Linked DNA regions of Solanum lycopersicum. The protein of the gene in region 1 interacts with the protein of each later gene in a pairwise test. Links are inferred from orthologs where the notes say so. Each region holds a gene or a part of one and is shown on either strand. Other genes may lie near its edges.

Region 1 (8,026 bases):
GCATCACAATCTATTCTTTAGAAAAAAGAAACAGAATAAGAAAGGTTGTTTTCTGGGATGACCTAGTTTGACTTGGAACGGAGTTCAAGAAAAGAAAGAAGGCTTTTTAATCTTGTGGTTCTAAATTAAAGTTATGTCAACTGTACCAAGTGCCTTTTAATCTTGTGGTCTTAAATATGCCACGTGGAAAGTTAAAATTAAATTATTGCCAAAAAAGGAAAGGGATCATTCTTTTTGAAACAAACTAAAAAAGAAAATAGGGACATTCTTTTTGAAACGGAGGTAGTAATAATCTTCTTAGAATCTTGTTGATGTATCTTTCCCGAAATTCTACTAGTTGGAACCTATTATTTTGGGAAGTCAGTGCAGGGTAGTTCAGCTGCCTGTCAATGGGCAAGTCATAGTGAAAGTTCAGTGTTATAGGGCTTGAATGTTTATATCAGTTCAATAGTTAGCTTTCCATAAGTCCTTTTATGGTTGTTTTGTTGATTAATAGACATCCAACCTCTTTTCCTATCCTTGGTGAATTTGTAGAAGTTTTCACGTATCAGGTTTTCTGTTCTACTTTCAGGGAGGGACTTGGAGAGGGATATGATGGAGATATTGCTTTCGCGAGCGCCCTGGAAACATTTGGTGGGGGGCACAATGATCCCATCAGTGTTGCATTTGGAGGTATGTAAAGAGCTGGTACATGTATTCATATGATATTTGGCAGCTACAAATGTTTATCCTACAGCAACAGGATCAGCACTCCACACACCATTTTCTCTGTCCATTTTTGTAATTTTTTTCAAGTGTTAATAACAATTCACAAAACATGAGATGCACTTCTTGTGGGTTCATAGATGAAGAGACATCTCATAGAGCAATGGAAGCATGGAAAATTATGGTCTGGGAAATATATGATTTTTCCAATCCTTGCCGTTCCCTTTAGAATACAGTCCAGTAACCTTCTATAGATGTTAACCACTAATTCACTGACTTGTGCAAGAATAAAGTCATCCACTATCCTGATTGTAGTCTCAAGTCCCTCTCTATTCTTTATTTTGTTTTCTTTAGTATCTGCCTATTTGGTATTACCATTTGAGGGAGTTGGACAATGAGACTTGATCATTGGTTAACGTGGTACTTGTTTATGTAATCTGGTGTTGGGACCACATCTCCAATTATTCACATGCCATTTATGACGAGAATGCCATGGAGGTTGAGAAAACTTCCTGGATCTGTTGTGCTTATTCACTAAGTAGACTTTACCATAGTTGTTAGTGAAGTGAGACTTAAATGAGGATCTTCTGCTTTGCAACACTTACAAGGATCGAGAAAGTATAAGTTAGTGTTCGACTGAAAATCTCCACAACTTTTCTCCCCTCATTTTTGGCATCAGCTAAATGTCGTTTTTCATCGAAAGTTTGTCTGACCTGCTTAGAGAGATTGGCTCTACTAAATGCAGAGATAACTTTTCAATATTCTAATTATAGTGCTTTGACCTTTATGATTTCATCCTTCCGCACTTCACTTTGCAACTAATAGTTTCGACATGTGATCTGTTGAATAATGATCCATTGTTCAGTCACTTGCTCCGTTCTAAATGTAGGCCCTGTAATGACTAAATTTACTATTGCACTGAGGGAAATCGGGACTTATAAGGAAGTTCTTCGGTCACAGGTAAAGCTTTGCAGTATCTTTTGTTTCTCAATTTTATTTTATTGCTGGAATATTACTTCTGATGCTGTATTTCTGAACTCCTTATTTGGGGCAGAAAGCAGCATCAGTTGCCTTTCAAGAGATGACTTCAAAACATCTAACCAATATCACCCTTTTCTGTGGGGTGTGCTTCTGAATTATTGCCTTGACCAGTTACTTTCACCTTGATATGCAGTATATGGCTACTAAGTAGATTTTGATTGAGCTCTATTTTGAGATCTATTATGTCCTCGACACTCATTTCCACAATATCTGTGTTAAAATGTTGCCCATCTTAAATTTTAAGAACACTAACTCTGAGTTTCACCATCTGCGACCTAAAACATATGGTTCTTTTTTCTGTTCCCTCTTCTTTTTCTCTCATCTTTTAAGCAAACTTGAATGTTGATTTTGTTTCAGTAATTTATGGAAATTCTTCTTGTGCTAGTTGAATTATTTGCTGTTGTATTTCTACTTTAGCAAAATTTTCTGATCCCTTTGACATTTTATTCTTGATATTTCCTCCTTCGAGGCTGTCCTTCCTGTGGAAAGAACAAATTTATAACTGCAAGTGATTTCTTCTCATCTGCTTAAGCATTTGAGGGAAGATTTAGGTACCTGTGTTGTTGGGAGGTAGCAGGAACCGGATGGAATGGTCGAGATACACACAAGTTGGCCCTGGAGAAAAAAAAATAGAACTGCAAGTGATCTATTTAGTCTCATAGTGGCATATGCATTTAACTAATTACCTACTTCTCCAACATTCATACTGTCTTCTCAGGTTGAGCACATGCTGAATGATCGTTTACTGCAGTTTGTTAACATAGATCTGCAAGATGTCAAGGTACTACCATTCTTTTACTTCCTTTCTATTCTAAAAGGCATTTTTGATTACTAATTCAGGATATGTAAGTGTCCATGACTTTGGTTAGTGTTAAGCGAAGTGTGTTCTCTGTGGATTAGGCACATGTAACAGTTCTGAGCCCTGCCATCGTCAAAAAGTCTGGTATTTTAGTGGATAATGTGGAGGGTGGGCCCATTATCTGCCGAGTTTTGAACAATGAGACATTGGCCTTTGTGGGTTTCTCGGTCATTTTAAAAATGAACAAAAACATCTATATGTGAAAAACCTGATTTTGTGGGCTTGCATACCCAAATATAAAACAATTGTGCAAGTATTTGCTACAAGGAGTTCTCTTTGTGCAGGAAGCTCGGAAGCGCTTTGACAAGGCAAGCCTAATTTATGATCAGGTATTCTCATTCCTAATTCTCATTAGATGATTAGAAATTTCACCATCTGATGAACTGAAGATATAATATTTCCTGTAGAGAACTATATAGTATGCAGAACTTATTCCTCTATTAACAACAACAACAACAACGTGCCTAGTGTATTCCCACAGAGTGAGGTCTAGGGAGGGCAAAGTGTACGCAAACCATACCTCTACCTTAGGCGAGGTAGAGTCTAGAGAATCTGTTTCTGATAGACTCTTAGCTCAAGACAAAAACAGACTAAAGAAAGACGTAATAGAAGTAACAATGCTACAACCAAATAATACTACAATCAAACTACACAAAACAACATGTATCAACAAGATCGAAGAACAAGAAACTACAAGCATAGCACTAAGACTAATAGTAAGGGCACCAACTAACTTTCTAGCATGAACATACTCCTACCTACTAACCTTCTACCCTAATTCACGTCCTCCACACCTTCCTATATGTCGGCAATGGGATTAAAAGACTTAATTTTCAGAAAATGGTCTTAATGCATTGGCCACTACATATCTATTATCACGATATTCTGGTTTACCTCGATCATTTCCTCCCATTTAAAAATTTATCCTGGTGATATATGTAAGCACTTCAATGGGGTTGAAGAAACTCTTTAAGTTTGCACAAAAAACTTGCAAGATAATTGAAATTCTGAGTTAAATAATAGGAACGCTTTACACTTTCTCTGTTTGTGATTTAAGGATCTTCTATTATATCAATTAACATTATATGCTCCATGCTGCAGGCCCGCGAGAAGTTTTTGTCACTAAGAAAAGGCACAAAAAGTGATGTTGCCAGTGTACTGGAGGAGGTATTGACAGACATAGCAGCTAACCATTCGTACTGCCTATTACCTTCTGAAGTCGCTCTTGTTTAACTGTTGCACATATTTTTGCCTACTCTGAAAATAAAGGAAGGGAAAAAACTTACTTAACACGACTTTAACTCTTCTAGGAACTTCATAATGCAAGATCAACTTTTGAGCAAGCTCGATTCAGTTTGGTGAGTGAATCTGGAGCTAGAACATTTCTTAAGACTTTTCAATTTAAAAAGTGTTACCACAATAGCAATGGTCTGTTGACTTGTTTTTTCTATTTGAATCCTAAATCCAGGTAACCGCTCTTTCTAATGTGGAAGCAAAGAAACGGTTTGAATTCCTGGAAGCAGTTAGTGGTACAATGGATGCTCATCTTCGTTATTTCAAACAGGCATGTCATTCTGTTGGGGATATTCTAGCCTATTTGTTTTCAATTTCTCACATTCTATTTCTATTTCTCTATCTTTTAGGGGTATGAGCTTTTGCATCAGATGGAGCCATATATCAATCAGGTTTGTCTTTGTTTTTGGTTTCATTGGTGGCAATTTGATATTTGATTGAGGCTGCTTCAATTAAAATCACAGATTAGGTAGCAACAAATTTTGGTTTATTTCCTACAGAAAGGTTAATGATCAAAATTTACATTTAGATAACGGTAAATGAGAATACTCTGCATCCTTCTGCAACTATCCTCTGTTTCTTCCTTTTTTTTTTTACTTAGAATGGTCTCAACTGGCACTTTTCATGTCTCATGAGTCTCAACACGCACAGGAAACATTCTTGTAATGTTTCAAGGACTATTTGTTATGTGTTACTCCCTTTCTTCCATTTTTGCGGTATTATTTCATTACTAGTCTGTTCCAAAAAGAATGACAGTTTCCATTTTTATGCGGTATTTTTATTTTGGTGTAAAAAGTTGTCTATAGTAGATACAGATCAGATTGTAGATTCGATAGGAAGTTTGTAATTGACACTTTTTGGTGGTGGACAGCATGCCTTTAATGCTGAAGAATACAAGCTTAACAGTTTAAAAAAAAAATGTTTGGAAGTTTCCATTATACCCTTAATGAGAACCTTTTGTACTCACACAAATATCATTGCGTGTTTAAGACTATGAGTTTCAAAAGTCTGTTCCTTAACCCTTCGGGGTGGCCCAGTGGTTTGAGCTTGGGACTTCCATGTTGGAGGTCTCAAGTTCGAAACCCCTTGCCAGCGAAAGCAAGGGGTTTGCCTTCTGGGTCGAGCTCGTCGAACAAGGCTTGCCTAGTGCGGGTTACCTCTCCTATGTGGTTTGCGAGCTATTGCATAGGAGCGGGGTTTTTACCCTGTGCGCACCCAAAGGGTAGCGGCTGCATGTTTCCCTTGTCATCAAAGAAAAAAAAAGTCTGTTCCTTAAACTCCATATCAATACAAACTGCACCACATATAAGAGCTGGAAAAGAAGGAGTGTATTATGTAGCATTGGTTTATTGTTTGTCAGGGGACCTAGAATGACTGGTATTGGGAGTTATTGAACACTTAAGTTGCTGCCGATGTGACATGATTTTGAAATGCATAAATAGTAATCTATATCTGTTGCTTTCTCTAAGTGGTAGATATTCAATGTCATTTATTTTTTTGCAGGTCCTGACTTACGCACAGCAGTCTCGAGAACGCTCCAACTATGAGAAAGCAGCTCTTAATGAAAAGATGCAAGAATACAAGAGACAAGTAGATCGAGAGAGCAGGTGGTTGTCCAATGGTTCTAATGGATCCCCTAATGGAGATGGTATACAAGCCATTGGCAGAAGTTCACACAAGCAAATAGAAGCTGTCATGCAATCTGCTGCAAGGGGAAAGGTGTTGAAAACCTCTGTATTAACTTTATTGTACCCTTTATTATTGCTTTCATGTTCTTAAGTACTCCTTTTGTTTACTCTTTGCACCTATAGTCAGCTAAAATTACAGTGGTCTTTCAGGTTCAAACCATTAGACAAGGTTATCTATCAAAGCGCTCATCAAATTTGAGGGGAGACTGGAAAAGAAGGTTCTTTGTTCTTGATAGCCGTGGAATGTTGTATTACTATCGCAAACAGAACACAAAACCATCTGTGAGTATTATAGGCTGGGATGTAAAAGAAATACCATCAAACCCTACTTTGTGGTCTCTTGAGTTCACTTTCTGGTTTGCAGGGGTCAGGTAGTCAACATTCTGGCCAGAGAAATAGTTCAGAGCTTGGTTCTGGACTTCTTAGTCGCTGGCTTTCGTCCCATTATCATGGTGGTGTACACGATGAAAAGTCTGTTGCTCATCACACTGTAAACCTTTTGACATCAACTATAAAGGTTGATGCTGACCAATCAGATCTGCGGTTTTGCTTCAGGATTATCTCCCCTACAAAGAGCTACACCTTGCAGGTGAATTGCTATTGAATTTTCATTTTGGGTATCTCATGTCATCCAATGCACTGTTGTTGCAGGGTGGAGTTTCTGCTAGACTTGTGAGATCAAAATTTATCGGTTTCCCTCTTATTGTAGGCAGAGAGTGCCTTGGACCAAATGGATTGGATTGAGAAAATAACAGGAGTTATTGCTTCTTTGTTGAGTTCTCAGGCCCCTGACAGGGTAACTATTGGAAGCTGCTATACATTTTTGTTGTCTTTACTTCGATGCACAATCAATAATAGTTTACAATCTTTATTTCAGTGTTTGACTGCCAGTCCTATGGGAAGTGGTCATCATCGATCTGCCAGTGAGAGCAGTTCATTTGAAAGTTCAGATTTTGACCCGCCTGCAGTTGAAGACCATCCGTCTGACAGGCTTATCTCAGCGCATCATGATCGCCCTTTCAGAAATTCACAGCAGCTACGATCTGCTCCAAAAAGTGAACAGCCAATTGCCACACTACGTAGAGTATGTGGAAATGATAGATGCGCTGACTGTGGTGCTGCTGAACCAGATTGGGCATCTTTAAATCTTGGTGTTCTTGTTTGTATTGAATGTTCAGGTGTTCATCGTAATCTTGGTGTGCATATATCAAAGGTGAACTTTTAGATTTCTGCTAAGTATTATTTAGCCACAGGCTATATTGCATCTTGCTGGGATCTAAAATTCATTTCTTTTCTATGCACATTCAGAGGATCCAAAATTTATTTCTTTTAGGTGCATATTCATTTGTTTCTAGTTAGAAAAGTTAAAGTTGGGAAGCCCAAACTCTAGCAACTCCATGGATTTTATATTGTTTTAACATTCTAGAGTTTTATTACGATTTCAAACTTTTAAGCAGCAGATGGTACAAGATCTTCTAGAAGGTTGTTTCTTATTCTCAAATTTTATTGACTGAAAACCAGTTTGTTTGTTTAGGAGGTTGACACCCATGTATTTCTTCCTGGTTCATGGCTCTAATATATTTGACTATCTAAAATTCCTTAGGTAGCTGAATAGTCAGAAAAATGAAATTTCTGGTGCTTCTCTTGGTGGTAGCTTTAAAGATACTTGTGATACTGGTGTACTGGTAGATTATGAAACTTAAGACTAGCTTTTGCAACGGATGCATGCCCATTTATTATTTCTGGCAGAGTTGGAGTTTTTTTTTTTAGAGAAGGTGTGTTTTGAGCATCTATTTGTATAAACCCCTCTGAACATTGTATTGGAATGGCCTTTCTGTAGTTAACAACCAGTTAGTGGCCGTTTGGTAGCCGGATAAGAAACAAGTTATCCATGTATTAATTTCCGTATTACTTATACACGCTTGGTAGGTATATTGGAAATAAGTTATTATTTATGCATAAAATTAATACGTTTGGTTGACAATTTAGAAACTGCATAACTAATACATGTATAAGTTATGAGAGAATCTATGTCGTTTGGTAGCCGGATAAGAAACAAGTTATCCATGTATTAATTTCCGTATTACTTATACACGCTTGGTAGGTATATTGGAAATAAGTTATTATTTATGCATAAAATTAATTCGTTTGGTTGACAATTTAGAAACTGCATAACTAATACATGTATAAGTTATGAGAGAATCTATGTATTATTTTATGCAATATAGAAGGTGGAATAACTAATACATAATTAATACCTGCATAAAGTAATACATAAATTCACTCATAACTAATCCTTACAATACTAATACCTGCAGAACTCTAACCAGCCACCAAGCTACCAAACGACCCTTTATTACATTTATAGTGGTGCATTGAGTTGGTTTCTGCATCTTGTCCTCAGTTGTGATCATCTCTCTGCAGGTGAGGTCACTCACAC
Region 2 (8,454 bases), on another chromosome or scaffold:
GTGAAGGTTATGGGAGCTTTTGAGAAAAAGTATATATAAGCATCTTAATGATTATTATTCGTTGTAGAGTACATTTTTAGAAAAGAAAAAGAGAAGGAAAAGTATTAGTTGAGAATCTCACTTTCAACAAGTGCTTTTTGAGAAAATGGCAATCGTTTAATTAACACGATATAGTGTGTGTTTGGTTGGAAACATTTTCTCAAAAAATATACAAATTTTTTTCTGACGTTATGTTTGATAATAAGCAATAACATTATTTCAAAAATATTTATACGTAATTTAGAAAAACACTATGAAAGAGGATGTGGAAGTTGGGAGGCTTTGACGGTGGAATAGACAACGAAAGGCGTTTGGCCAAACGATATCATATTACGATATAAAATCAGCGTTTGGACATCTGATTCCACACTAATTCTATCTCATGATTTCCATTCATGAGATGAGAATTTCATATCATGATTTGGAATTTTTTAGATATAAAAATGGACCCACAAGTTTATATTTTATTAAAACAATCCACATGTATAACTAATAATCATTTATTGTAAATAAAATTAATAATCACATCTTTAATTTTTAAAATTTATTATTGCTTTAAATTTGATAAATATAAATGATAAAGTATGAATTGATTTGATGAATATAAATAAGTACATGGAAGTAATACTTTTTTGGTTTTTCATAATTGAAAATGCTTCTCTTTCGACTACATATGAAAATGTTTAAAATAATTTAGTATAAAAAGGGACAAAATTGGTGATGTATGTTTGAGAATCACTGCTTCCAATATGTTTGTTTTTAGCAAGAAACTAATGCACTGAAAATGTGTAATTGCACACAAGTGAAACAAGGCATGAACCATATATATGATATTGACACACAAGTAAAAATTGTCATAACTTTTACAGCATTACATAATTATTTGCGAGAATGTCAAAGGAGTGATGAAATTTTTATGATTTATGAGCATGAAAATATAGTTGTGACTGATATTGACCAACAAATGGCTCAACGTAACAATGTTGGTTCGTCTTCACGATCGTACAGTCGAGAAATGCAAGTTCAACGTGAGAAGGTTGTTCGTGCTATGTGAGAGGATTATATTAAATACTAGTACACTATAATTTGTGTACAATAGTTTTTATTGAATTAAAGTTTGAGCAATTAAAGTTAAATGAAACAGTTAATTAATTGAAGAACAAATAATTTTATAATAATTATTATGCGATTTAATTAATTTTTATTTATTTGATAAGATTAAATAAACAATTGAAGCTATTTTAATGGAGTAGTTCATAACTTATGAGATTTTTATGTATATAAAAAAAATATACAACACAAAAATGTCAAATTACATGTCCAAATAAAATTTCAACTTTATCTCATGATTTCATATTTTGATATCATATCATGATTGTATATCATATGACCGAACCGACCCTTATAATAATTGTTTACTAAAAGTCATTTTTCTGATTTTTAAATAACTTGTGTCCAACATATTTTGATCAACAAAAATGAGAAAAATTAGAAGTAATTTTTAAGAAATATTGAGCCAGTCGAGTTCCCCACTGAGGAAGTAAAAAAGAATACTTACTGCCTTTCCTTTTTTTTTTTTTCCTCTTGCATATTTTTGCCAGTTTGCTGCATCCAAATTTATTTCTAAAAAATTTATATATAATCGAATAAAAAAAACTTGAAATTTTATTTATGATTTTTTTTTATTTTTAAAAAAAGTCATTTTAGTTATATTATTAGAAAAAATAATTTTTAATCTGATCAACCAATAGATTTTTCCATAGCAAACTGTATATATTAGAATTTAAAATATGTGCTTATACTAGTGGCATATATTCACTTTCCTAGAAGATTTAGCACTCCGATTCACTGACATAAAATTTCAAAATTGACTCTAATTTTCTTCTAGATAAGGGCATTCGAAAATATTACATAAAATAAGCAAATATCTTTAGTATAATTATCACATTACTTTAAAATGATTACATAATCACACATTATTTAATTTGGATTTGAATTTATAAAGGGTAGGTGATTGATACCATAATCATTGAAGGACCACTATTAAGTCATAATTATACAAGATGATATATGCATCTATGCACAAATATATGTACTTGGATAAGTGTATCTTTATTCTTCTTTTTCTAAAAATTTATGTATGCACAAATACATTAGATATATCACAAATTTGATATTATGTGCATGTAATTTAATTTTTATATTGGTATGATGTGCTTATGCATAGATACGCTACATATATCACAATTACATTGGATATATCATTACCATTTCAGAATCAATGCATAATTATGTACAAATAGATCGTATACATCAATGCATTCTTAAAAACTAAATACATGATATTGATAGTGCATGCTAGATATTCGATACTGAACACACTGAATGAAATTGACATCGATAAAAACACTAGATAAATCAATGTATATTTGATACTGAATACATGAAATTAATAGTGGATAAACTAGATACTTATTTTACACCGAACACGCTTAATGACATTTACATGCACGAATACACTAAATACACTAATGCATAATCGATTTTGAATATATATATACATAAAGTTGTAAAACTCAATATATTATAAAATACATATACAATGAAACACATGAATAAGAGAGAGAGGAGAGAAGCGAGATATATTAGTTCAATGTCGTGTATCTAAAGGCAAACTCAGGATAAGATGTAATTATTGAATCAATCGTTATATTAAATAACTAATGCATATACTTTATGAAAATTTCCCTATAACTTTTACTTATTTCTTAACCCTTACAATTATACAATAAAAAAAAAATGGCAATATTATTTGTAAGTTTATGTTAGGACAATGTATATATTTTAAAAGTAGGAACAAATATTGAATAGATTACGTAAAAAATGATCATTAATGATAATAAATTTTTAATTGTCGCTAAATATGTATTTTTAGTGACAATTAGCATTCTTTATATATGTTCCTAAACCTTTAATGACATTGGTTCTAATGACACTCAATTATTGTCAGTAAAAACTTTAACAATCTTTATTAATATCAATACTTATTGTCATTAAAAATTATTTTTATTGTATTGATAAAATGATATTTATACCATATAAACCATATTAGTGGTGTAGGCCCTATTGGAAAGCTTTATTAGTTTTCATTTGTGGGACAATTGAACTTTAGCTTTTACCCACCACTGTATGCCTGGGATCAACCAAAATATTTGGTGTAATTATCTTTCAAAAGAAATCCCTGACAATAAGTCAAACACAATTGCTTGACCTTGCCCCACTTGCCCTCATTTTCAACAATTTTATCCCTCAACTGAAACACACTCAATAATTGGTTAGATTTTTAATCTAACATGTTATTATTAGTAGAAAATGATTTAAATTAAGGTTGTGTTCGATGAAAAGAAATTTTTTTTTGGATAGGCAAAATATTGTTTTTTAGAAAATATATTCTTTAAAAATGAAGAAAATAAACGGTGAAAGCATGAGAAAAAAATTTAAATAATTAATGACGTTTCGTGTTGATTGTGTTATCTTCACCCTCTGATACACTTTATTTTGATCCCACTCATTATAACACTCATCTTTGTGATACCTCTAACTTATATAATGTTTACCTAAATTATATATAATTATTAAATAATATTTTTTTTATGAAAATTTTTATCATACCAACCTAAGTCCACTTTCTTTGAAAAGCATGCTATACAAGTGGGCAAAAATTTTCTTTTGTATTTATAAGAACGATTAAATTCCCTTAATTTTTAGATATAACATTTTGTACTTCTTTAAAAAATCTTCTTATTACAATTATAGGTTTTGCTTTGTTTAGTACTGATTTTTGCACTATTTTTTTAATGTTTGGATTTGTTATACTTGAACCGAAGAGTTCAAACCATTTTACCTCTATATACTTGAGCTGATGGTAAAATTTATATATATTCTATCCGTTGAGTATATTGTTGTTATTGGCTCCATCAATGTTTATCTTATTTTATAAGATTCATTTATGTTGATATGTTTGGCCAAATTTTTCGAAAATAAAAATATTTTTTATGATTAAAAAAGTAATTTTTTCATATTAATTTGTTTGTCCGAAATTTGAATTGACACCAAATTTTAAAAAGTGAAGAAAATATATAAATTTTGTGATTTTAAACTAAAATTATGTAGAATGTATCAAAATATTATCTTGATCACGTACGATGAAAAATTAGAATCGTTGAACATCATATTCATAATTCTTCTTGCTTTTTAAGCTCCATATCAAATTAAAATAAAACAAATAAATTAGATCGAATGTAATACTTTATTTATCTTTTCTTACCTAACCTGATAGTGTAACATTACATCAATACATATAAGTTAAAATAATTATGAAAATGACTTAACAATCAATGTGTTTTAACGAAGCTATTATACCAATTTACATGATTTACTTTTTTTTTTAATCAACTTAAAAAAGTATGATACATTTTTATATTAAGTAACAATTTAACTATAAAATATCTATTTTATACTTAATAAAATGATTTACATCCACACAAATTGCTATGATTCATTTTGAATCACAAATTTAAAAGTCTTTCTTTCTTTCTTAAACTCCGAATTAAACTATCTCGTATAAAATGAATCGGAGGAGTATTACATTACAATTATTATAGTCATTTTTCAGTCATATGTGTACAAAACAGGACAACATTAACAAGTCAAGTTCCCACTATAAAAACACCCCCAAAATCTAAAAATTAACAAGACCCCTGCACTCTTTTTCAAAAGCAATTCACACTCTTACTAGTTGTTACTACTAAAAATTTGCTCCTATTAGTGTTTTTTTTTCTTCTTCTTGATGGATAATAGATGGTCAGAAAAGAACCTGAATATGAATCTTCCAGAAAGTCCAAAAGCACCAATGGAGTTTTTGTCAAGATCATGGAGTGCCTCTGCTTTGCAAGTTTGCAAGGCATTAACAACAACTTCTTCATTATCATCATCCTCATCTCTTCCTACGAAGACGAATAATAATAATAATAGTGTTGTTGTTACTATACCAGAGAACATTATCTCTGTTGTTGAGGAAGAAGATTCTGCTAATAAGCTTGCTGGAAACACATTCTCTTTTGCTTCCTCTGCTACTTCACAACTTGTTCTTGATCGCATTATGTCTCAATCTGTAAGTACCGTCAACCCTCTCTCTAACAGTATCGTTTGTCTGGATGTGTTTTGATTGCTCCAACGAAATATTGTTACAAAGTGTGTATGATGTATAACAAAAATTGTTCACAAAACAATTTTGTTATAGAGACGTATGATGTTAAACATTTTGATTGATATAAGCAATATGAATCGTAGAAATTTATGTAGTTGGTCTAAAAACGAACAATATATCACCATATTAAACGTATTTTTGGACCATTTTATTGCAACAAAAAAAATAGTACGGTTATAAGGAGGTATGGCCGATAGACTATACAAGTAGAATTACATTCATGATGCAACTTATTTGGAATTAGTTTATTATAAAAATGAAAAGGGAAAGGGGTGTTTTATTTTTGTTTGTTTAGAATATTATTATGTACAGGGGAATTTCATGGAGTAATTTAGTATTTTTAACATTATTTATGTTTTTTTATTAGATGCATAATGGGCAGGAAATATCACCATTAACATCAGGAAGATTATCTCATAGTAGTGGGCCTTTGAATGGTTCTCTGACTGAAGAAACTGATAGTCCTCCAGTCTCACCTTCTGAAGAATTTGAAGATGTTGTTAAGGTAATTAATTTCTCTCATTAATGTTAATTAATTTCATAAATCACTTTATTTTGTTATTTAAATGTTTGATTATGATAAGGTGTTGTTATTAGTTAATGATGATAGTAGTAGAAAAAAAGGGGTTATGTATGAATTGGACCCATTTCCAAAGTTAAACATAATACACTTTTGTTAATATCAATGTACAACTTTTTCTTGCTTTACAAATTACAAGGATGCTTTAGCCGTCTAATCAAACTCACCTTTTGACTTTGTTTAGGGAATAAATCTATCTACCCCCACAAATGGCCATAAAAGAAAAAGAAAAAGATGTTAACTTTGGTTTTATACGAGATAAAAAAAAAGTTAGTAAAACAAAAAAAAGTAAACATAAACTTTTTTTTATAGAAAATTGCAAAAGGGCCAATTTGGCGCTTAAAATGAATTTAAGTTACTCGCTCGCTTTCTCTTTTACTTGTTTACTATTTTAGTAATGTATTTTTCACTTTTATTGTGTTCACTTTTAATATAACAAAAAAAAATAATTATTTGGTAATTAAAAGCCTTTTAATTATAGACTAAACCTTGTAATAACATAACATGATCTATATATATATATATAACCTATCGTATGGAGTACCTTGTTATTATGTATAGCACGTGAAGATGTCATATGTAGAAATGGCCAATTTTTGTTTTTGTCTTAATTAACTTTCACAAAAATATGCTACAAGTACAATTCAAAATTGACTTAGATTTATTGTTGTATCTAGTTAGCTATGGATTATCAAAACAGAAACTTTTAAGTGGAGTGTGTGAATGGAAAATTGATACTCTTTTTGTCATTTTTTATCATTTTGTCATTACAATTTTCAGTATTCTGTCACTTACCAATTTCAGAATTCTGCCTTGCTTGTTTTTTAGTGTTCTATCAACATGTTTTCCTCTCTTGTGTTAAAAGTTAAATTTTACCTATTTATTTCAATGTTATACATTTTCATGTTTGTTATTTGCATGTTGTAGTCAACTTCATTAAAGTCATATTCAAGATTTTTCTCATAGATTTTGAGAAATTATCTTATTTGGTCATTAAATTTGATATCATCAATCTTCAAGTATTTTTCAAGTGACAAGTTTTTGGATTTTCACTCATAAAAACTCAAGCAAAATGGATGTCACATGACTTCAAAAACTCAAATCTATAGTCAAACAGAAGCTTAGATTTTACTGGTGTTCACGGTCAATCAACTCAATTTAATTAATATGTTTAGTAAGGTCTCAAATTCGAAATCCCCTGTTAGCGAAAGCAAAGAGTTTGCCTTTCGAATCAAGCTCATCAAACTTGTTTAGTGCGAATTACCCTTCTTATGTAGTTTGCGAGCTATTGTATAACAACAGAGTTTTATCCTGTACACCCCAAAAAATAGCGATTGCGAATTTTCGTGTTCGTCACTTTTTTTTTTTAATAGTCGAGTGACTTAATGTATGAAAATATGTATTAATTAACTATGTTTAAGTGATTAAAAAAAAAGCATATGTAATGTATTTATCGGTCTAGTGTAAAAACACTGTACAAATAAGTTTTTACCATCTTACATATTGACCATTATACATTTGAATCATGTGATCAAATATGAATATTTTCATACTTCAATACTAATAAAAAAAATATTGAGTTCAGTTAATTGACCATATTTCATTTTCTCATATTGTGTTACAGTATTTGAAAGCAAACAGCACTCTGCAACCATTATTTACAAATGTAAGAACAGGATACACTGGATCAGCTGTTGGGTTAGCACCCAACACGCCTGGTGGTAAGACAGTTGGCAGATGGTTAAAAGAAAGGAGAGAGAAAAAGAAAGAAGAAAGTAGGGCCCAAAATGCCCAACTTCATGCTGTTGTTTCAGTGGCTGGAGTTGCTGCTTCGGTGGCCGCAATTGCTGCGGCCACCGCATCAGCTTCGTCCACCGCCAAAGATGAGCAAATGGCGAAGACTGATGCTGCTGTCGCTTCGGCAGCCATGCTGATTGCCGCGCAGTGCGTGGAGGCTGCCGAAGTTATGGGAGCTGATCGGGACCATCTCATGTCCGCGATCAGCTCTGCTGTTAATGTTCGATCTCATGGAGATATTTCAACTCTTACTGCTGCTGCTGCTACAGGTGACTAACAAAATACTTCTATTGTTCAATTTTATACAAGTTTTAAGTGTTAAAATTTATGCACACCAAAGATGCAAAACATAAATATCTTAAACAACAAATCCAATTCGACGAGCTAATATTTGGGATTTGAGATAGTTCTAATATGTTCTTTGTTTTTTCGCAGCATTGCGAGGGGCAGCAACATTAAAAGCAAGAGCATTGAAGGAAGTATGGAACATTGCAGCAGTAATTCCAATAGAGAAGGGAATAGGTGGAGGCACAGGGCGAAACAACGACCAAAATCACAGCAACAACAATAATAATTATTGTGAGGGACTTGACATTGAAGAGAACTTTTTGGGGGTTTGTAATCAAGAATTACTTGCTCGAGGACGTGAGCTTCTCAAAAGAACTCGTAATGGTAATTTGCATAATTCTTTCCCCTGCTAACAATGCCACAAAAATTTGATTTTCTTTTTTTCTGTTCTGTTTCTAAATTTTTGTTTTATTTTGCGGTT

Evidence for each region.
Region 2: the proteins of ADP-ribosylation factor GTPase-activating protein AGD3 (region 1) and VAN3-binding protein interact in binary tests that used the Arabidopsis thaliana proteins (3 or more experiments, as listed by UniProt). The link is inferred for Solanum lycopersicum from reciprocal best matches to the Arabidopsis thaliana genes SFC and FKD1.

What each region holds. Positions count from the first base shown.
Region 1 is NC_090804.1:32,001,074-32,009,099, forward strand, and holds part of ADP-ribosylation factor GTPase-activating protein AGD3, read left to right. Parts: intron 1-571; coding exon 572-672; intron 673-1,594; coding exon 1,595-1,665; intron 1,666-2,464; coding exon 2,465-2,527; intron 2,528-2,889; coding exon 2,890-2,934; intron 2,935-3,706; coding exon 3,707-3,772; intron 3,773-3,915; coding exon 3,916-3,963; intron 3,964-4,073; coding exon 4,074-4,169; intron 4,170-4,248; coding exon 4,249-4,290; intron 4,291-5,401; coding exon 5,402-5,617; intron 5,618-5,736; coding exon 5,737-5,868; intron 5,869-5,950; coding exon 5,951-6,175; intron 6,176-6,295; coding exon 6,296-6,382; intron 6,383-6,463; coding exon 6,464-6,799; intron 6,800-8,010; coding exon 8,011-8,026. UniProt on the Arabidopsis thaliana protein: GTPase-activating protein (GAP) for ADP ribosylation factor (ARF). Involved in the spatial control of provascular differentiation. Required for the formation of the normal pattern of continuous secondary veins.
Region 2 is NC_090808.1:60,539,213-60,547,666, forward strand, and holds the start of VAN3-binding protein, read left to right. Parts: upstream 1-3,884; 5' UTR 3,885-4,888; coding exon 4,889-5,212; intron 5,213-5,675; coding exon 5,676-5,813; intron 5,814-7,512; coding exon 7,513-7,954; intron 7,955-8,120; coding exon 8,121-8,357; intron 8,358-8,454.